Caenorhabditis elegans: one gene and its partners. The protein of the gene in region 1 interacts with the protein of each later gene in a pairwise test. Each region holds a gene or a part of one and is shown on either strand. Other genes may lie near its edges.

Region 1 (3,371 bases):
CTGCCGTTACTCAAGGAGCTCATGCAATGACTCAATTAGAAAATTATGCAGTCGCTATTGGAGATAAATTGAGAACAGTAAGATTTTTATTTAAAAAGATTTATTTTTACAATTAGAAAATGCTCAAAACGTAACTTTTTCGAATTTTATGAATTCGTTCATTTTTCCAACTCTATTTTGCTGGGAGCTTACTAAAAAAGTTGTTCACCCGACATTTGACATACTTATAAACTTTTTTGTAGATTGATGACTATCAAACTCATCATCGTCTCCGTGAAGCAACTGGTCGCAAACGTGCAGAAGAACTCAACGAGCGCGTGATGATCTGGTCCCTTGGTCAATCTGCCGTCGTAGTATTCATTGGAATTGGCCAAGTTTTCCTGCTCAAATCATTTTTCAATGATAAAAGAACTCGTTATTAATTTTTTCACACCATTGCTCTTTTTTTTGTAATTAGCAGCCTTCTCATTTTAATGGGTCCCGTCAGTTGTTTTGCCCCTTTTCCTCCCTTTGATACATAGCATAAGAATATAATTTATTGATTTATAACTGAGTTTCATAACATAAAAACCCGAAGCAATTTTATGCAATTGAGAATTATTCAGGAATGTCTCCGTTGAGAACTGACTGATATTCCTGGAGTCTCCGAAGAAGTGCGTCATTTTGATTAAGAAGAGTTTGGATTCCGTTTACGAGCGTCTTGCGTTTTTCACGGTTTCGCTTAGCCTGAAAGTTGATTGAACTGAATCGAAAACTTATTCAAAGTACAAAATAAAATTATGACACACCTGATTTTCGGGAGTAGTTTCAGTGATAATATTCATCCCATCAAGAGTTTCCAGATGTCTTTCCGCCTCTTCGTTGAAATATTTCACTTTCTTTTCCAGCTTTTTCCCCATCTCGACCTGCTTTGGTTTTTCGAGAAAACCACGTTCCAAATCAGCGACATCTCTCAAATTGAGATCATAGGCTTTTTGAAGATTGCTCAAATTATGCTTCTCATATTGCATGAGCATTTTGAAGCCCGCGTCATCAACCAAAGCATTTTTTCCACCCATCACAATGATTTTATCATTTTCTTTAAAATTTAAAGTAGAAAGGGAGACATCGTCGGCGCCTTGAAGAAACTTTCCTGTAAAATACTTTGTCTCATTATTCCAAAAAATCAGAAACAACCTCTGTGCAACAACTTCATGGTTTCAACATCAACATCATTGTCGGTGGCGATTCGATCGCGTAGCTGCCCAAGTGTCAAAATAGATTCGTCTTCTCCTTGATTTTCCTCAAGAATGTCGATTGTAGTTTGAACGGATGAACACGACACATTCACCTTCATTTCTGAAAATTGATTTTGAGACAGTTTTAGCAGTGGGAGAAGCCTCCGAGTGTCGATAAATAAGAAATTGGAACAAAATTATTGTTAACTTATTAGAAAATTAAGAAACTTCTAGAAATGACGAGAAGCTTATGCGAAAATCAGTTCCTCCACGAGGTGTACACATCGATTGCAATGGGGCGCACTCGCTCAGAGACTTCAGAGAAAAACGATTCCATAGACAATGAATCACCGTTTTCGTACGATACTGTGAGGGACATTAAATTAGCCCATTTTTGTTTTTAAGTCACAATACGAGAGCACATGATAGTTTTTATATTGGACATGTAAGAAACACAATGTATGAGCAATAAAATAAACAGTGAGTTGGGTGATAACCATCGGTTGAATAATAAGTATGCAATTATTTACAAGAAAATTACTTATGGCTGGAAACTTTTTTCAATCGCTCGAGAATGGCATCGAGTTTGTAAATTGTCTCCTGGTCAATCTGTTTGTAGATTTTGTCCCGATTTTTAACTATTTTGCGAAAATTGTGAATGCACTCTGTTGCTTTTGCAGCTCGCTCTTCAGCTACCACATCGACTCCAATTCGCCGAGTTTTGGTGGATGCAAATCCGATGATTGTGTCCAGTAAACTGTTGGTAATTGATGCAAGAGCCTTCAAGCAAGCCGATCGCTTCCCATAATTGTCGCTCGTGATATTTTCTGAATTACAAAACATTAGAATAAATTTATCAGGAAGCAAAACCAACCCATGATAAATGTTAAACAAGCATGGCACGAGTTGAGACACCAAGAGTTTCTACTATTCAGAATTCTAATGACTGTGGGAGCGAGTTGGTTGTCGTTTGACAATATCTGTTCCATGTTACTTGTGAAACTCTTCATCTTATAAACACGAAGATCTGAAAAGAAAACATAAACTGAAAAATCAAAACTCTGCAAATCCTACTTCTGCTCTCTCGCTTCGCACAAACACCGATTTTATTCACTTCCTCGGTGCATGCGGACCACAACGACGCGTTTGATGACATGACTGACACGGATGATTCTGGGGAGGATTTTGGCAAAGAACTGCTATGTTCTTCACCTCTCGAAACCGGGTTCCGAGACAATTCCTTCTTCGACTCGGAATGCAATGGACGTCTTGAGCGAGTATTTGTGAACTCGGGCAGATCGGCTTTCACAGTTCGAGAACTCCCGATGAAAGTGATGGGAACGTCCTTTTCCGCACCGCGTCTGAAAAAAATATAATCGCTTCAGATACTTTTTTCGTAGAACTCACCGACTCGAAGTAGATCTTGTATTTGGTCTGTTTTCAGCGGATTTCGGAATGTCGTTGAGAGGCTTCCTATTTTTTGCATGTGTTAGTTTTTTCCGGTCGTCAAGCCCTGACATCTGAAAAATTTCAAAATTTCAAATTTAAGAAGAGACAAACATTTTATAATTGGAAAAAAACACAAGATATCAAAATTAGACGAAAGAAAGGAACTAGTAAACAAGAAAAAACCGTTTTCCCGCATAAAAGAAATTCCCGCGTAATTCTTTGAAGTACTATCGTACCCCGCATGAGCGCTGCGGGACCCGAATAACATCTCATATGCGCCTTTAAAGTTTTTAATATAAAGCTGGATTTTTTAATCCTAAGTATTTACTTTTGCCTCATTCCAATGAATTCTTGAAACGATATATTTAATATTTAATTTAGTTCTTATAGTAAATGGCTCCAGTACTTGGTTTGTTGGAAAATGAAGCGAAAGTCAAGTCGATCATCAGAAAGTAAGTCACCAAAAAAAGAAACAGTTTATATTAATTTAATTTCAGCAATAACCTACTCGAAAAAAAGTTTTCGAGCTTTCAAAGACAGTGTAGAGACCTATCAAGAAACCATGCACTCCGTAGGCGATTTTCGTTCTTGGTTGCAAACGAATTACATTTTTTCAGTCGATTCGTGTTGTTCACAAGTCAAACATTCGGCAACAGCCGCAGAAGAAATGTCAGTCAGCGATAAAGATGTGAAAAATCACCAGAA
Region 2 (4,060 bases), on another chromosome or scaffold:
TCCACAACAACGCCTAAAAACACCGTGAGTTTTTCTTCACGCCAATTATATTTTGTGTCGTCTGCATTTCGTTTACCCATTTCAGAATCTCCTTGGCTCAACGTATGAGTAAAATGAGCATCAACCACTGACTTGATTTATTCATTTTTCTTCACAATTTGGTTTTCATATTTGGTTCAGTTCCCCTCATTATCCCATCCCATTGTTTAATTGCCTAATTTTTATCTCTCTGCTTGTATATTTTTTCAATGGTTCAAGGTGGTAATATGATCATATTTCCTTTTGAAAAATTAATAGAGTTTACAGAGCGTCGACTACAACAACAGCGAGTCGTAGTGGTTCGAGAACATCTTCCAGAGCTTGTCCGCGTGACGATTCCCGCGACTCCCGTCTCTCTCAAGCCAAAAACAACAGTCGTAATAATTCTCGCTCTCGTATTTTCTGATTTTCAAATTCTGTATACTTCTGTTTTTTTTTAAACTTTTTTGAATACTTTAACATATAAAAATGCACTTTTCCTGTAAAGCTGTTTGTCTCAAAAAATTCATTTAAAACTTAAAAATAAAATCATGGGTACCGATATAATGGGTGAGCACGAACTTGCAAAAATACTTTGGAGAAATGGATTCACGATTTGGAAGCAACGGTATGTTGAAAGAACCGTAATAAATGACTGGTGACTGAGTATTTTGTGAATAAATTATGTTGAAAGTCTAAAGATCGGTATGTGAAGCATGAGATGTAGATTCTTGGGAGACGGAAGTTGTTTCCTGTGTGATTGTGGAAGAAGGCGATTCTGGCTCGATGGGTTTCAGAAGAAAGATCGCGTCAGGAAGGTAGTAAGCAGACTGAAATATTTTGATGTTTGAAAAAATTTTCAAATCAAACTTCCACCCACATTGTTCATATCTCCTTCGCAAAGATACGGCAATCTTGTCCATCTGAGCACCTCAAAATTTGCCGGTTTGAAAACATTGACGATCATATGATGAACATGGTCGGCGTAGGTACGACCAGCAACGTTCAGGTAGTTGTCAGGTCGGGTGCTTCGTCCATTTGGATTGAATTCCACGTAATGGCTGACTGGAAGCACAAGCGACACGATGACATTACAGTTTGAGCGGCGAGCGACGTTCCACAAGTCGTTCAACAGCTTTCCTGGCGAGTAATGGCTGAAATTTGCAGCTTTCATTGAATAATCTGAGTTTCTGTTCACTTACCGATCGAGGAGGTTGAAAGCGGTGACCAAATCAAATTTAACATCAGTTTCAGCCCACTCGAGTGCACTGAGAACATTGTATCCCTTCCAGCTGAGCCGGTTTCTCATCTTCTGCAAAAAAACTTTGTTTGTAGTAATCTTGCAGGAGGAGTAACGTTTCCGTTTTTGCAAAAAAATTTAAATTTCATAGTGGGAATTTCAAAACAGCCGGCTTGGCGTTTTTCAAATATTTGGATACATTCGTTGTCCTAGGTAATTCAAACTGGGATAACTGCTTGACATTAAGCCAAAAACGCAGAAAAGAAACGCAGAAAACGTTTTCAAAGCATTATGTCATCATAAAATGTTTTACAGTATTCAAAGCCTTTTTTTTTAATTTCAAGTTCTTACCGATGACAACTCTGTAGCATAAACATGCTCAAAGAATGGGCGCATGTGCTCTGTAATGTCTCCGTTGCCAGCTCCAAGATCGAGCACCTGAAATATATAATTGCGGGTTGGTGAAACAATTTCCCATAAATACCTTTTTGTCGGTAGAATTCCAAGATTCTTTCTCGATTGCGAGAAACTTGGCGAACTGATTTTCACTGAAAAGGAACATGTTTCCGAATCCGGTCATTCCATTGATATCAGTTTTCGAATAGATTGTCGACAAAATCATGACCCCAAGGTTGCGAACCGTCTGCCAAAAGAAATTGCTGGCAATTTTATTGGAGTTGTCAAGAAACTGCTGCGTTTCCCCATCTGGCAACGATGCGGCGAACAAGTTTTGTGCAACATCTGAGAGACTTGTCTGAAATTATTAATTTTCAAATTTTCAAAAAATTATCTGAATTAAAAAGAACAAACCTCTGGCTGATACCAATGCTGGGCTCTCAAGCCGTACGTCCGCTCCAGTTGAAATGACATTTTGGCAGTGAAAATCGATAACAATAAGAGGAAGAGAGGTGGTGTGTGGCGAAGACGGTTTGAATGGGGGAACGCTTTGCACTGTTGGCCCGGTGTGTGCAAACGCGCTCGATTCACAATAAGGAAAAAGATGGCGGGTTTGCCGCAGCGGGAACAGTGTGTTGAGAAATTAACTTACAGGTCTGAGTTGATGAGCGAGAAAATTGTTTTCGTCGTATCGAAATGAAGAAAAAAGTAGAATTTAACTAGTTTAAAGCCTGTTTTTAATAGCCACATTGCACTGTCCAAATGCAAAACATACCGTGCCAATTAATATATTTGAAATAAACACCGAATGGGACCCATCAATATGTGAAAAAGAGCCGTTGAAGGACAGAAAAAAGATGTATCAATGTTATCGATGACAAGTTTGAGATTTTCCACCACAACATCGTTGTGCCAAAATCGGGAGAAAGCTACTTGGAAACATTTTTAAAAAATCAGAAAAAAACAATATATTATATTTCCCTCCAAATTGTCTAGTTGTTCCACTATCAGTTTTGAAACCCACACTTTAACTTTTTGAAATCTTTCCAAAAAAAAACCATTTGTAATACCTTTCCACTTCTTCGCCACGTATTTGTCAGATGTAAAGCCATAATTTTTCACTGCAAAACTACAAGTGTGCACAAGTCCATGCAGAACTTGAAATGTATCCCAAATAGTCATTCCCGTAAGCTTCAATCATTTACGTCAAAGAGCCGGTTTTCTCATTTTTCTTCTCATTTGTAATTATGACTCTGAAGCCAATAATTTAGATATTTTTCCCGCTTCTCTGATTCGTGTTTAAGAGATGTTATTTTCAAAACTAAAATCATTATTATTCCCAACTCCTTATACGTGTTCATCAGTTATGCATAGAATATAGAATATCTGAGATCTTATGGGTTGAATCTCCTGAGAATTGAACGATAAAGTCACACCTCTACACTTTTGTTAAAGATTACCATTGTTATTGACTTTGAGTTTTCTTCTTTTCTCCTTTCTGATTCACTCCGGCTCAATCAACTTTTGGGAAGAATGCCCACGTTTCCCGAATTGGTTATGTCTGTTCACAATGACAGTAGATACCTGAACTACGAATTCAAAATGAATACAGTGTCTTGGTGTGTTCTAGGCCTGTCAGCATGCGTATTTCTCGGACTTATCTGTTTTATCAGAATGGCAATAATTTATTGTTCCCAACCTTCCATGGCTACCAAAGCTATCCATCCGCACGTATTTAAATCTATGGTTATTATGCAGTTGTCGGTAAGCTGGTTATATTTTTTCTTTGTTATCTGTTTTTTTTTTCAGCATTATATTTTCTTCATAACTGATAATTTGGCATTCCGCGTGCCTTCTACCGGATTTGTTACAGCTAGCTGTGCTGCCATGGAGCCTAATCACTACTTAAAAATTATTTACCTGTCACAAATGTGGGGAACCTATTGGTCAATGTTTTCCTCACTATTGTTTTCTATCATTCGAATGATTGTCTATGTAACTCCAACCAGACATGCAGAGGTAACAATTATCTAATTAGCCACACTGGCTCGTTTTGTAGAATTGCCGCGCACCCATGCTTGCACTCCCTTTCGCTCAAAAGCAACCATGATATGAGCCTTTGAAGTAGAGGGATACATGCGCAAATCTAATAGTGAAAATACCGTCAACATTATTAATAACGCCTTATTTTCAGTGGTCGTCTTACGTTTTTTACACATTCATTCCGTTGGCTTTCTTCTCACCATTTGGAATTACGTACTTTATGTATCCAGCAAAAGGCTATTGTAGACAATGGGGATCTCCTTTGGGCTTCGGGTCTGTCTTCATCTCCTACACCGAAACCTATGATGAAATACGACACGACATATTCTTCATCCCGTTGACTTTAGCTGTCCCTCTCCTTAT
Region 3 (4,772 bases), 750 kb from region 1:
GTTGCCAAGCTTTTGCCATTTCAGTTTATCGACGTCGGTTCCTGTGATGTAAACTGATTTTCCACCCTTATCGCCTATGAAGTTAATCGAATTTTCAGTCAATGTAAGCGTTCCGCATGTTAAATGGCCTATATCCTCCACGTAAACTCCCTTGAATTTGAGCTCAGTCATTCTGAAACTTGTCAGTCAATAACGCGTGTAAAGAAAAGAAGCGAAAAACGTCCGCGAACAAGAAAAGTCCGGAAAAGAATGAAAAAAATGAATTCTCGAAAAATGCACTCTAATTTTTTCGCGCGTCGAACCGAAAACAAAGAACTACGGTAGTCGATCATACGTGAACACCGAAGTATACTGTATACGCAAGCACCGCATCTGACGACCGTTTCTATTAATTTTATTATTTTTTTAATAATTGACTAATTTTGACAAATAAATTGACAAATTACTATTACGACAAATTACGACAAATAACGGTAAAAGTTGTGGCACGTCAAATTTTTTCCTGCATACAAAATAGTTAAATTATCAAATAATATTTATTTCATCTTTTCAACAACCAAGAAGCAGTACCAAATATATTAAGTTTTTAACAAACTTCAAATAATATAATTTTTGGTACTGTAACAGCCTAACAAACAACATCAATTGGAAATTCAAAAAGAAACAGTATATAGCCCGAACGAGAGAGTGAGATAGAGAATTAAATTCACACCTGGAGGAAGAGATCAGTAAGAAATGATCAGACTTTGAGAACATGAATAGAAAATGATAGTAACGGGGGAAGGGGACTTTAAACAAGTATTTTGAATCTATATTGATTCATAAGACAGGAATAAAGTTTTGTGAGAATTCAGAACCGGTTGGAAGCGTGTCCAGACACCGAATCGGTTCTGAATTTATCAGAAGTAATATATTTGTTATTGATTGAGATACGGTCCCAATCTCATGAGCAATCGATCGCAGAGTCCTATCTCTTGTAGATGTGTTTGAGACAGTTGATGGCGTAATCCTTGACAATAACTCGTAAAAATCTGAAAAAGGTTAACTTTCTTGGCGCAATATTTACTTTCTTGAGTGTTATGGTAGGGATTAATTGTGTCATTTGGGAATATTCCGACAATTTTGGCATTATGCCAAACAATTACTTACCTCAGCGACACCTCCATTGACTATTTGAAGTATATGAATTCCAGAGAGAAGTGCAACTTCACAATCATTGAATACTGTATTACGAATGCCGCCACGAAGCAAATTTACTGGATTCTCACAGGAATAGAAAGTGATTGGATCAAATGTGAAAGCCGCACGAATAGCCAAGATACCACTCATCACTTTTTGAATACTCATTTCAAGTGCTTTTTCATCTTTTGGCAAAAGTGAGCTCAAAGCTGGAACTGATTCAATAAATTTCTTAATTGCTCCAATAGCATGAGTTCCCGATGTTAAGTGAGTAGAGCATGGCATGTTTGCAACAAAGGCGGCCGTAAGCTCTTTCACTTGTGATGTCATCTCAAAATTGGGCGAAGCCACTGATGGTTTAACATCTTTATCAGTTTCTTTGTTCACTCGAACGTTGTCACGATTCATTCCAACTGCGAGGCATTTGGCAAATCGACAAGCTTGACAACGAGTACGTACTCCACGATTTGCCGCACAATTTTCATATGAGAACTGAAAAATATAATAGCATATTTTTGAAATGCTTGTCTAATTAAACTCACTGTGCAATTTTCTCCTTTGGTACAAACATATGCGATATTCTTGTGAACACTTCTTCTGAAAAATCCCTTGCATCCTTCACAACTCTGTACTCCATAATGATATCCAGTAGAGTTATCACCACAAACCATACATCTATCCTTTTTAAAGAACTCACTCCAAGCATTCATTGTGAGATTATAGTTTGAAAAGTCTGGAGCAAACTGTGGCATTTGTGGAACTACTGTCATTGGTGTGTTAGTACGGTCATATGGAGTACCACGTGGCTTTTTTGTTGAAGCAGATGACGCTGGGAATGTGTTACGACGAACAGAACTGTTCTCTTTATCATCGGCTTCATTTCCGTTGTCTGGAGAACTTTGAGTCGAAGAAAGAATATTATTAATTGCATATGGTGAGATTTCTTCTTTTTCTGGTTTTGCTTGTTGAAGTGGAGTCAATTGCATTTGTGGCTGATTATGGTAGTTTGGAGTGGTTGCGCTGAAAAATTGAATTTAACGTTTTTACTATAGAAAGGATAAAGTAATCTTCCAGTCATCGTTGCCTTATTTATTAATTTAGTAACTCGCTGAAACGTAGAATTCCCTCGGCATACTGTACAACCGTGTTCTCAAATTCCGCTAAATCTGACTCTATTGTTCTCACCTAATCTCTTTGTACAACATCTTAAAATATTTTTTGTTGCATCTAACCGCTCTTTGTTCTAATTAGGTGTGAATTGGTAAAAATTACATCAACTTGAAATCACTAACTGAATTTTCAAATCCCACTTCCAACCTTGCCAGTTGAAAGAGATTCCCGTTTAGATGTCTTGAATCCTGCCAATAGGATTCAATATGATTCATCATTAGGAGGTAACATCTGCCACGTCATCAATACAGTCCCCCATCTGCCCCCTCTTCTGACCTGTCACTCTCTTACCCAGTTGCCACGTCACAAGGTGACCTGTTTCTACGTATTGCGTGAAACAAATTGGACCATAAAGTAGAGACCGCCCAAACACTCAAACATTGCGCAACTCTTCTTTTTACCGCGCAGAAGAAATACATACCTGTTCTGTGAAGTGAGTGGTGGAGAGATTGTGTCATTTCCCGAATCTCTGTCCGAAATCTGGCTCAGCGGTGATGTGGCATTTGGAGTGACTGTATTTTTAGATTGTGGTGGCATGTAGGTTGAGTTTGTTGCTGTTCCTGGAACCATTTGCTGCATTTGCATTTGCATACACAGAAGCATTTCTGGGGTCCATCTGAAAGTGAGAATTGGTGTTTTGTAATAATTCGAATGCACGAAAAGTTATGACTGGATACAGAAATATAAAAACTTACTGTGCCGGATTCTGTAAATATGACTGTTGATATGCATTTATCATTGGATAGCCTGGCATCATATGTGGTTGATTTGGATAATGCATCAATTCTGGATTCATTGGAACCATCTGAAAACTAGAAAAGAAATAGAGATAGAAAAATAATAAGAGTTAATAAATTGAAAAAAAGAGTATACTATGAAATAGTGTACAATTCAACAGACTGACAGAACGCGCGAAAATGTTGGTCAACGAACGCTCGAATTGGTTGCATAATGACCATCTGACCTTGCACACACTGTTCTCGCGCACTCTTGCTCGTTCTGCCTGCAACGACGGTGTGCTGCTCCGCCCCTGGTGGTCTATGGGAATAAGAAGGTGACAGTGAAGAGATGGAAAGTGGGTGTGATGACATCTCTTCCAAATATTCGCAGTGTGGTGTTGTAATATATTTGTGCGTTCGGATAAAACTAACAGATATTGTTGAGAAATTGGGTATGGTTCTCAGTTGGCATATGAGTTGCAGAATAAGAGTCTATCAAGTTTCAGTGAGAAAAAGTGTCGAAGAAATAGTAGAGCTCTTGAACATTAATTTTCAGGAAATTTCCCTCTCTCGAAGCCAAACAACTACGGACCCAGCGGTAACACAAGTAGCCTATAATGTTCTCATACGCTGTAAAATAATATTTAAATTCAGCTACAGCACTGTAGCTACAGTACACCTACAGTCCCTAATCCAAAAACATTTCGTCATTGTAGCTGGAATATATCGACCAAAAAGTATTGCTGTAAGTGAAAATAGTTGTACATCTCTTCCGGAAAGTGAAATTTAAAGGTTTTCTGAAAGACACACACAGTCAGAATAGAAATTTGATAGATTATATCTAGATTATGTTTGTGATTAAATCAGTACATGGCTGAAATCTAAGCAATAGTGTGACGTCATAATTTTTCAAAACATTAATTAGCCGCCAAGTTTGGTTCTTTGTAGGTCAATTCTTTTGCTGGAACTCTATGCTCATAACCCTCTTTTGGGGTAACATTTCATTTCTGTAACCCCTATCTATAGAGAGGCTATGTGTCAGAGAATACTATAATAGTACAGTAATATAGAGGTTAATGAAGGATCTTTAATCCATCCCCAATTTAGCACAGATGGTCGAATACATTCTGACAGAAGGGAAAGGTCAAACTATAAATATCGATTTATTCTGAAAATAGACAACGATTGGGGTTATCTAATCTTGATTCTTTTCAGAAGGGATCATCAACGGCCGAGCTGTCAATTTTAATTTAGCTAATGAGAAAACATTTAGTGACGAGAATCATTGCTGGAAATATTCTAGAATTCAGTATTCAAAACCGTTTCTAAACTTAAGTAAGTAATTCGAAAATTTCGCAAAATATATGTATTGTTTGATATTTTTTTGAAATTTTAAGACTTTTCAACAAAAAAAAACATTTAAATTTGTTAACAACAATTTTTCCAACTAAGAATTGGAAATAGTGTATGAAAATTTCAAAAATAAATTGAAAATACCAAACAATTCCGAATTTTCCGAACCATGTAGTTTTCCAAGAAACCCATTTGGAGGTAATTTTTGGTTTTATAAGATTTTAGATAGACAGTGAAGAATACTGCGATATTTCAAAACTGCGTAATCTACTCCAGTTATCTCGAGAGCCCATTTGTTTTCCTCCAATAAACTATCATTCTGTGTTACGTCAGTCGGCAACATTGTGTGTG
Region 4 (7,767 bases), on another chromosome or scaffold:
GATTCCCAGCCACGCTTTCAGGGACATCTGTAATGTAAATTTGGTTGGAAAAATGGGAAATTTTAACGGAATGTGGGGAGGAAAAACCAAGCATTTTGTGAATTTTTTCAAAAAAAAATTTTTTATAAATTTTTTGGCGAAAAACTCCATATTTCCTGTGAAATATGATATTTTTCGAGTTTTTCACTGAAAAATCTTGAATTTTTTGAAAAAAATCAGGGAAAAATCGATTTTTCAGTGGAAAATTGGAACAAAAAAAGTGAATTTTTACATTTTTTGAAAACTTTAAATTTTTCACCAAAAAATCGCAGAAGAAGGATTTTTCTCTCTGAAAAATTGGGAAAAAATCTGAAAAATTCAAAATTTGACTTTAAAATTGAATTTTTAATGGAAAATTTGTAAAAAATGTGCATTTTTCACTAAAAATTGAAAAATTCTGAAAATCTGGAAAAAATAAAAAAAATATTTCAGAGCTTGAAAAACTCGCAAATTCCAAAACAAAAAATCAATAAAAATCGCCGCAATTTTTCACAGAAAACGGTGTACTTTTTTTATGCATTAAAGTGTGATAGAAGAAAGAAAAAAAACGATATTGGGAAATGGGGGGAAAAAATCAAATAATTTAGCGTAAAATACAGGTATTTTCAGGGAATTTGAGAGGTTTTGGGGGGTAAAAACGAGTAGAAATTCGAAATTTTTTCAGATGAAATTTTCAATTTTCAATTTTCCCGCCAAAAAAGCAGCGTCAGGAATCTCCTCAGTTGGTGGTGGGCAAGATTTTCACGGCGACGACCGAATTGAGCACATTTGCATCCTTCAGAGTCTGTGATTCGTCTTCAAATGGTTTTGGAGGGTAGGCAGCCATCATTTGGAATGGAGCGTAGATCATATCTGGGCGGGCGCTGGAAAATCAAAATTTTTAAATTAAAAAAATTTGAGTTTTTTGAAAGAAAAAACTAGAAAAATGTAATTTTTTAATTTGAAAAATGTAATTTTTTAATTTGAAAAATGTAATTTTTCTATCACTGTGTATATCAGAAAAATATTATTAAAAAATAATTATTCATTGGAAAATTTCGAATTTTTCAGGCTAAAAATGTGATTTTTAGATGATTTTTTTATTTTTTTAATTCGAAATTTTCTAAAAATCTACTTTTTCTAGTGAAAAATGAGAGTTTTTAATAGCTTTTTCCGGCTGAAAACTCACGTGCAAATGAATGTACGAACTGCTTCAAGTGTGTGAGAATGATTAAAAATACCGACGAGACGCTGATTGTTTGGCAGACGGATTTGGATCTGAAAATTTTGTTAAAATTAATCAAAATATCAGGAAAGAAGCCACAATTCGACTGAAAATCTATAATTAGAGCCTGAAATTTTTTTTTTTCGAAAAAGTAGATTTTTCTCCGTTTTTTTTGTGTTTAAAATCATATGAATTTTGTAGATTTTTATCGATTTTTTTTTGCCAATTTTTATTGATTTTTTGAAGGATTTTACGACCTTTTTGTGATATTTTTATTGATTTTTCACGTTTTTTTCAGGAAAAAAATCTGATTTTTTCCCAGAAAATGAGCGTCGGAGAGCAGAAAAGCGTCCTGATGGTGTGTTTAGGTACGGTTTTTAGGTGAAAAATAGGTGGCCGAGGTTTGGGTTTCTAGGCCAGCAATTTTTTATTTGGAAAATTGACGAAAAAACGGTCAAATTTGCGCGAAAAAAATTGGTGGCCGACTTTTTAAAACAGTTAGGCCACCGATTTTTTTCGGGTTTCCCATCGAATAATTAGTAATTCAGCACATTTTTGTGAAAAATTGGAAGAAAATAAAATTTTAAAAGTCGATGGCCGAACTTTTGAATTTCTAGGCCACCAACTGAGATGTTAGTCCTCCACAAACGTCTTCTTGCCATTTTGAATTGTGTCTAGCTATTTTCAAATGGGCTGGACTAACTTTTCACTTGATGGTCTAGAAATCCGAAAGTTCGGCCACCGATTTTTTTTCCCAATTTAAGCGAATTTTTGAATATTTTATTATCAGAATCATTTAATTTTAGAGTGTTTTTGAAGCTTATTTTATCCGATTTGAAATTTTTCAGAAATAAACTGATTCTGGGATGTTTTTTCTAGTGTATAATTGATAACATATATTTAAAATTTAATTTTCAAAAGTTTGCAGTTGATTTTAGCCTAATTCTACTGAATTTTTTCTTTGATTTTTCTTTTTAAAACTGCCAATTTTAGCCGGTTTTCCTCCAAATTTCACAAATTTTCGCTCCAAAACCGTACAAACTCCGTACATTTTCCACTGAAAAATCGATTTTTCCGATTTTTTCCGAGCAATTCAAGATTTTTCAGTGAAAAACTCGAAAAATATCATATTTCACAGGAAATATGGAGTTTTTCGCCAAAAAATGGCGAAAAAAATGTTTTTTGGTCAAATTTTTTTCCCCCACATTCCGTTAAAATTTCATATTTTTTACTGAAAAAAAATCCCATTTTTCCAACCAAATTTACATTACAGATGTCCCTGAAAGCGTGGCTGGGAATCGATAAAATCCAAAAGTTTGGCCAAATGGTCAAGGAGATTGGAGGTGTCAAAGCGGTGCTTAAGAAGCGTTATTTGTAAGTTTTCAGGTGGAAAAATGGCTGAAAATGCGAAGATAAACTATCAATAATGACCGGAAAAACATAAAAATTAAATGAAAAATCGGTGGCCGAACTTTTGGATTTCTAGGCCACCAAGTGAAAAATTAGTCCCCCAATTTTGTTTTGACATTCTGCGTGATAGGTCAGGTCAGTTTTGTGGGGGGGTCTAACTTTTCACCTGATGGCCTAGAAAATCGAAAAGTTCGGCCACCGATTTTTTTTTTCGATTTTTATGATTTTCAGGTAATTTTCGACCGTTTTTCTTCTAATTTATTGCATTTTCAGGTCAGTTTTGTGGGGGGACTGAATTACTAATTGCAGTTGATTTTAGCCTATTTCTACTGAATTTTTTCGTCCATTTTTCTTTTAGAACTGCCAATTTTAGCCGCAGTTTTCCTCCAAATTTCCAAAAATTTTCGCTGCTCCAAAACCGTAGTACAAACTCCGTACATTAGTCGTTGGCTCATTCATATTGGTGCTCAGCTCCTTCTTAGCATCTTCCAGCTGTTTTGCCTCATTTTCAGCAGTATGATCCGGGTTATGATCAGTTGTTGCAGATGATGTCCCAGCAGTGGTGGCAGACGACGATGATTGTCCCAAAACTGTTGGGACAACATTTCCCAAACGGACTCCACTACCGCCGAATGGCTTCATCTTCGGAGCAACGTACTCCTCGTGGTGGCGGTTCACTTTGAAATCGATTTCTTTTCCCGGATATTGTTGAACAAGTGATGGAGGGATTTCACTGAAAAAAAACAAAAAAAAAATAGAAAAATTAGTGAAAAATGGATTTTTTGGCACTTTTTTCGGTAAAAATTGGAGAATTTTCAATTTTTTTTTCGTGAAAATTCATCACAATTGAGTTTTTTTTCAACGAAATTTGATTTTAAAATCGGTTAATTTGTAGAAAAATCGATTTTTTTGCTAAAAACTGAGGAAAATATTGGAAAAATTTGAGTTTTTTGAAAAAATGGAAAAAAAGTTCCATTTTTTTTGGGATTTTTCTCGAAGAAATTGGAGAATTTTGAGCCAATTTCAACATTTTTTCGTGAAAATTCATCAAAATTGAGTTTTTCCAACGAAATTTGATTTTAAAATCTGCAAATTTGTAGGAAAATCGATTTTTTTGCTAAAAACTGAGGAAAATATTGGAAAATTTTGAATTTTTTTTAGTGGATAAAAATGCCTTTTCTGGAATTTTTCCGACAGAAATTGGAGAATTTTCATCATTTTTATGTGAAAATTCATAAAAATTGAGTTTTTCCAACGAAAATTGTCATTTAAATCAGCTAATTCGTAGAAAAATCGATTTTTTTGCTAAAAAACTGATTAAAATATAGGTTTCCTCGGTTTCTTAACAATTTACAACTGAAACAATGCGTTTTTTGCGATAAAATGCTAAATTTTCAGGCAAAAAACCGAGATTTTCTCAATTTTTATGTGAAAATTGATTAAAATTGGCATTTTTGCACAAATGTTGATATTAAAATCGCCGCCAAAAATCGTTGCAAAATCAAAATTTTTTTGGCGTTTGCTGAAAATAAAATTAAAACTATATGAAAAACTCAAATTTTGGACTAAATTCTACATGAAAACAGCTTAAAAGTCCCAATTTTAAGTAGAATTTTGCATTTTCAACGATAAAATCATGATTTTCCTGCCAAAAAACCGATTTTTATGTGTAAAAATTGATATTAAAACGGCTAAATCGCTAGAAAATCAATTTTTGGCTGAAAATTGGCATTTCACAAAAATTATTTTTGGGGAATTTTCAAATTTGCAGGGAGAAATATCGGAGATTTTTGGAGAAAAATTGGAAATTTCATGGTTTTCTGTAAAAAATTTTTTAATGTGAAAAAAAATGAATTTTTTGGCACTTTTCTTGAAGAAGTTCGAACATTTTTAAGCCATTTTCAACATTTTCTATGCTAAAAGTTATAAAAATTGAGTTTTTTTCAACGAAAATTGCTGTTAAAAGCGACTAATTTGTAGAAAAATCGATTTTTTGGCAAAATTTTGAATTTTTTGAAAAAAAAAGATAAAAATTCCATTTTCAGGAATTCTTCCGACAGAAATTGGAGAATTTTCATCATTTTTATGTGAAAATTCATAAAAGTTTTTTTAAACGAAATTTGATTTTAAAATCAGCAAATTCGAAGAAAAGTCGATTTTTCTGCTAAAAACTGAGGAGAATAGTGGAAAAAATCGAAATGTGAACAATTTTCAAGAGAAAATCGCTGAAAATCAGCTTAAAACAGTGAAAAACATCAATTTTAAGCTAATAATGCCCAAAAATAACTTAAAAAATGCAATTTTCAGCTGAAATATTGCATTTTTAGCATCAAATTTTTAAATTTTCGGCCAAAAAATCGAGATTTTCTCATTTTTTAAGTGAAAATTAGTTTAAAATGAAGATTTTTCACATATTTTATTTGTTAAAATCAATAAAAATCGTGGGAAAATCGATTTTTTTTTTGGCGAAAACTGGACAATTTCCAGGTAAAGTTTGCTGAAAATAGGATTACTATGAAAAAACTTTGAAAAACTCAAATTTTGGACTAAATTCTACATGAAAACAGCTTAAAAGTCCCAATTTTAAGTAGAATTTTGCATTTTCAACGATAAAATCATGATTTTCCTGCCAAAAAACTGATTTTTATGTGTTAAGAAAAAATCTTGTATTTTGTATTTTCAGTGAAAATTGGATCGAAAATCTTGATTTTCTCGTCAAAAAAATCCAATTTTCTCTCGATTTTCTTCAAGAAATCCTCCATTTTCCGTCATTCCGTACCCTTTTCCGACGCTTTCCAAGAATTCAATAGTTCTGGGGTCCTGGCGAGACATTAACGGGCCGTCTTCGATCGATAAGCCGTCGGACCACAGGTGAAGCGTTAGGCTCTGCAAAAAAATATCGATTTTAAAGCAAATTCGCCGCGCAAAAAATGAGCAGAAATCAATGATTTTCAGCTATTTCAGCAGCCCACCGCGGCTTACAATAGTTTCTCTCCCTGACGGGCGTCCTCTTGGAGCTTCTCCTCCCTCTGGCTGAACCACTTCGGCGGCCTGAAGGATTCTCCGAATGTGGGCTTCACTATCCGGGCCTCGAGCAGCAGCTCCACGTGGTCCTTGAACTGCTTGTCCGCTGAAAAATCCAAGTTTTAAAAAATTTTAATTAAAAAATCTAGGAATTGCGGCTACCTTCCAGCGTAAAATTCCTGTGGGGCTCCTCTCTCGGCGGCATCGGCTCCTGAATCGTCGCTGTCCGGCCCCCCATCGTCGTTGTTTCCAATGTCACGAAACGTGCGAATACTGCAAGTAATTTATCGATTTTTGAGGTTGAAAATCGCGGGCGACACTCACTTTCTGCTCATTTTTTCCGGGGTTTTGTGGTGGAAAATTGAAGGTTTTCACTGTAAAAATATTAAATTTGAGAAAAAATGAGTGAAAAACAAAAAAAGAACGACGAAAAACCGATGGAAATAGGAAACAAAATAATAATGATAAAACGCGCCGAGAAACGCGCCAGCGCGTGCGGGAAGTGCGTCAGCAGCCGCTGTTGACGCAATTCTTGTCGGGGGCACGTTTCCAGCAGCGTCCAAATTCTGCGAATTGATAATAAATCAACAGTTTCTTTGGGGAAAAACTTAAAAAACAATTGTGAACTGAAATTTTACCTGAAATCGAGGAAAAATTCTAATTTTTCTGAGAAATCACGTCTAAAAGTGGATTTTGATAATATATTTGAAATGTCTTTATTTTTAATATTCAAAATTTTACTCAAAAGCATCAAGAAACCATCAGATTGAAAAAAAATCCCACTGACTATGAGAAAAAAAAATTTAAAGTCGGTCCATTGGCGCACTTCTCGTGCATCGCGTGGAAAATTGAGAAATTACCGAAAACGTTCAATTTACTGTTTTTCTTCATATTTTTTATAACATAAGCTTTGGTGGAAGATTACTTTTCAAATATACATCAATTTCCACTAGAAAAATGATGATAAATATACGAAATATGAGAAAAACTCAATTTTTAGATGTTTTTTTCTTTTTATATCATCGCTTTTATTTTTGAACAAAAATCAAAAATCTTTTTTTTCCTTCACCTTACCCTCAAGTAGCTTTACAATTGATACGTAATTAAAAAGTTTGAAATCGATTTCAAACCCATGAAAACTGAAGGAAATTACTTTTCAACGGCAAAATTTTCCCACGCTCACGAGAAACGCGCAAGCCCCCTGTTGTTGGGTCATTTCCACGTGAGGAGGCTGTGAGTCGTTGTTTTGAACGACAAGTTTTAAAAATCTGCAAATGGACTAATCAAAATTATTCTTGCATGCAGGTATTATACGGTAGCTTCATTCCTTTACACACATCATGATCAACCCAAGTTTCCGCAAATGTTCCGAAACTTTAGAGCCATCCTACTCCAAGTCAAGTAGGCTACGTGACACAGGATACCGATTTATTCCTGTAGTTTCAAACCATCATTTGGTTTTTGAACTTAATTTGACAATTTCAAATTGCTCGGGAAACCACGGGATCCTTCACTGCAACTTTTTCCTTACGAGGGACGAGGAAAAGTGGTTTCTAGGCCATGGCCGAGGGGCCGACAAGTTTCAGCGGCCATTTATCTTGCTTTGTTTTCCGCCTGTTTTCTTTCGTTTTTCACAGCTTTTTCCCGTTTTTTCTTATTAAAACTGATAAATAAATACTTTTTGCAGATGCTAAAACAATTTCCAAGTAAAAAATTATTGTTGTGTATTGAGCGAGTGACAAGGAGAGAAGAAGTTTATTACAAGAGAGTGTAAGAAGTAATGAATTATAAAGAGAGGTCGCTTACGCGATAAGTTCATGATGACCGAAAGGTCACGTCTGTATAAAGTTCCAACCTCCGCCTGCCTCTCGCCACAACCCGCTTCTTATGCTAACTAGTGATTTGATATTTATCAAATTTATAGAAATGAGAAAATTATATAATAAATTTGTAAATTCACGTAAAAATGCAAACAATGAGCAGGAAGGCTGGCGGGCAGGTCCCTGAAAACGCGCTTGCCTACCATGGAAGTTGTTTCCTATTGTGACCTACATCTTTCCCGCTTGCTCTGTTGTCCTCTATCCCTCTAT

What was found.
Region 2: the proteins of bag-1 (region 1) and metl-9 interact in a two-hybrid assay, tested with the Caenorhabditis elegans proteins (one large-scale study listed by BioGRID).
Region 3: the proteins of bag-1 (region 1) and nhr-2 interact in a two-hybrid assay, tested with the Caenorhabditis elegans proteins (one large-scale study listed by BioGRID).
Region 4: the proteins of bag-1 (region 1) and ubxn-2 interact in a two-hybrid assay, tested with the Caenorhabditis elegans proteins (one large-scale study listed by BioGRID).

What each region holds. Positions count from the first base shown.
Region 1 is NC_003279.8:6,563,114-6,566,484, forward strand, and holds bag-1 (BAG family molecular chaperone regulator 1), read right to left. Parts: upstream 1,339-3,371; 5' UTR 1,337-1,338; coding exon 1,177-1,336; intron 1,133-1,176; coding exon 789-1,132; intron 727-788; coding exon 598-726; 3' UTR 516-597; downstream 1-515. Other genes in the region: tmed-3 (GOLD domain-containing protein), read left to right, coding at 1-77, 243-422; mei-2 (Meiotic spindle formation protein 2), read right to left, coding at 1,755-2,044, 2,092-2,244, 2,292-2,578, 2,625-2,737; syp-6 (Thyroid receptor-interacting protein 11), read left to right, coding at 3,060-3,118, 3,164-3,237, 3,284-3,371. UniProt on the Caenorhabditis elegans protein: May inhibit the chaperone activity of HSP70/HSC70 by promoting substrate release in an ATP-dependent manner.
Region 2 is NC_003284.9:5,176,987-5,181,046, forward strand, and holds metl-9 (DREV methyltransferase), read right to left. Parts: upstream 2,165-4,060; 5' UTR 2,129-2,164; coding exon 2,069-2,128; intron 2,013-2,068; coding exon 1,743-2,012; intron 1,697-1,742; coding exon 1,610-1,696; intron 1,331-1,609; coding exon 1,221-1,330; intron 1,173-1,220; coding exon 899-1,172; intron 849-898; coding exon 714-848; 3' UTR 533-713; downstream 1-532. Other genes in the region: Zinc finger C2HC domain-containing protein zchc-1A, read left to right, coding at 1-24, 307-445; sru-48 (Serpentine Receptor, class T), read left to right, coding at 3,188-3,418, 3,464-3,673, 3,849-4,060.
Region 3 is NC_003279.8:5,817,955-5,822,726, forward strand, and holds nhr-2 (Nuclear hormone receptor family member nhr-2), read right to left. Parts: upstream 3,181-4,772; 5' UTR 3,155-3,180; coding exon 3,045-3,154; intron 2,966-3,044; coding exon 2,771-2,965; intron 2,200-2,770; coding exon 1,722-2,199; intron 1,672-1,721; coding exon 1,150-1,671; intron 1,032-1,149; coding exon 918-1,031; 3' UTR 520-917; downstream 1-519. Other genes in the region: hmg-3 (FACT complex subunit ssrp1-B), read right to left, coding at 1-171. UniProt on the Caenorhabditis elegans protein: Orphan nuclear receptor.
Region 4 is NC_003282.8:2,719,808-2,727,574, forward strand, and holds ubxn-2 (UBX domain-containing protein 2), read right to left. Parts: upstream 6,013-7,767; coding exon 6,002-6,012; intron 5,951-6,001; coding exon 5,840-5,950; intron 5,784-5,839; coding exon 5,636-5,783; intron 5,540-5,635; coding exon 5,433-5,539; intron 3,387-5,432; coding exon 3,092-3,386; coding exon of another isoform or gene 3,023-3,091; intron 1,297-3,022; coding exon 1,208-1,296; intron 903-1,207; coding exon 758-902; 3' UTR 506-757; downstream 1-505. Other genes in the region: ndua-12 (putative NADH dehydrogenase [ubiquinone] 1 alpha subcomplex subunit 12), read right to left, coding at 1-27. UniProt on the Caenorhabditis elegans protein: Ubiquitin-binding protein which acts as an adapter for ATPase cdc-48.1 and/or cdc-48.2, conferring substrate specificity.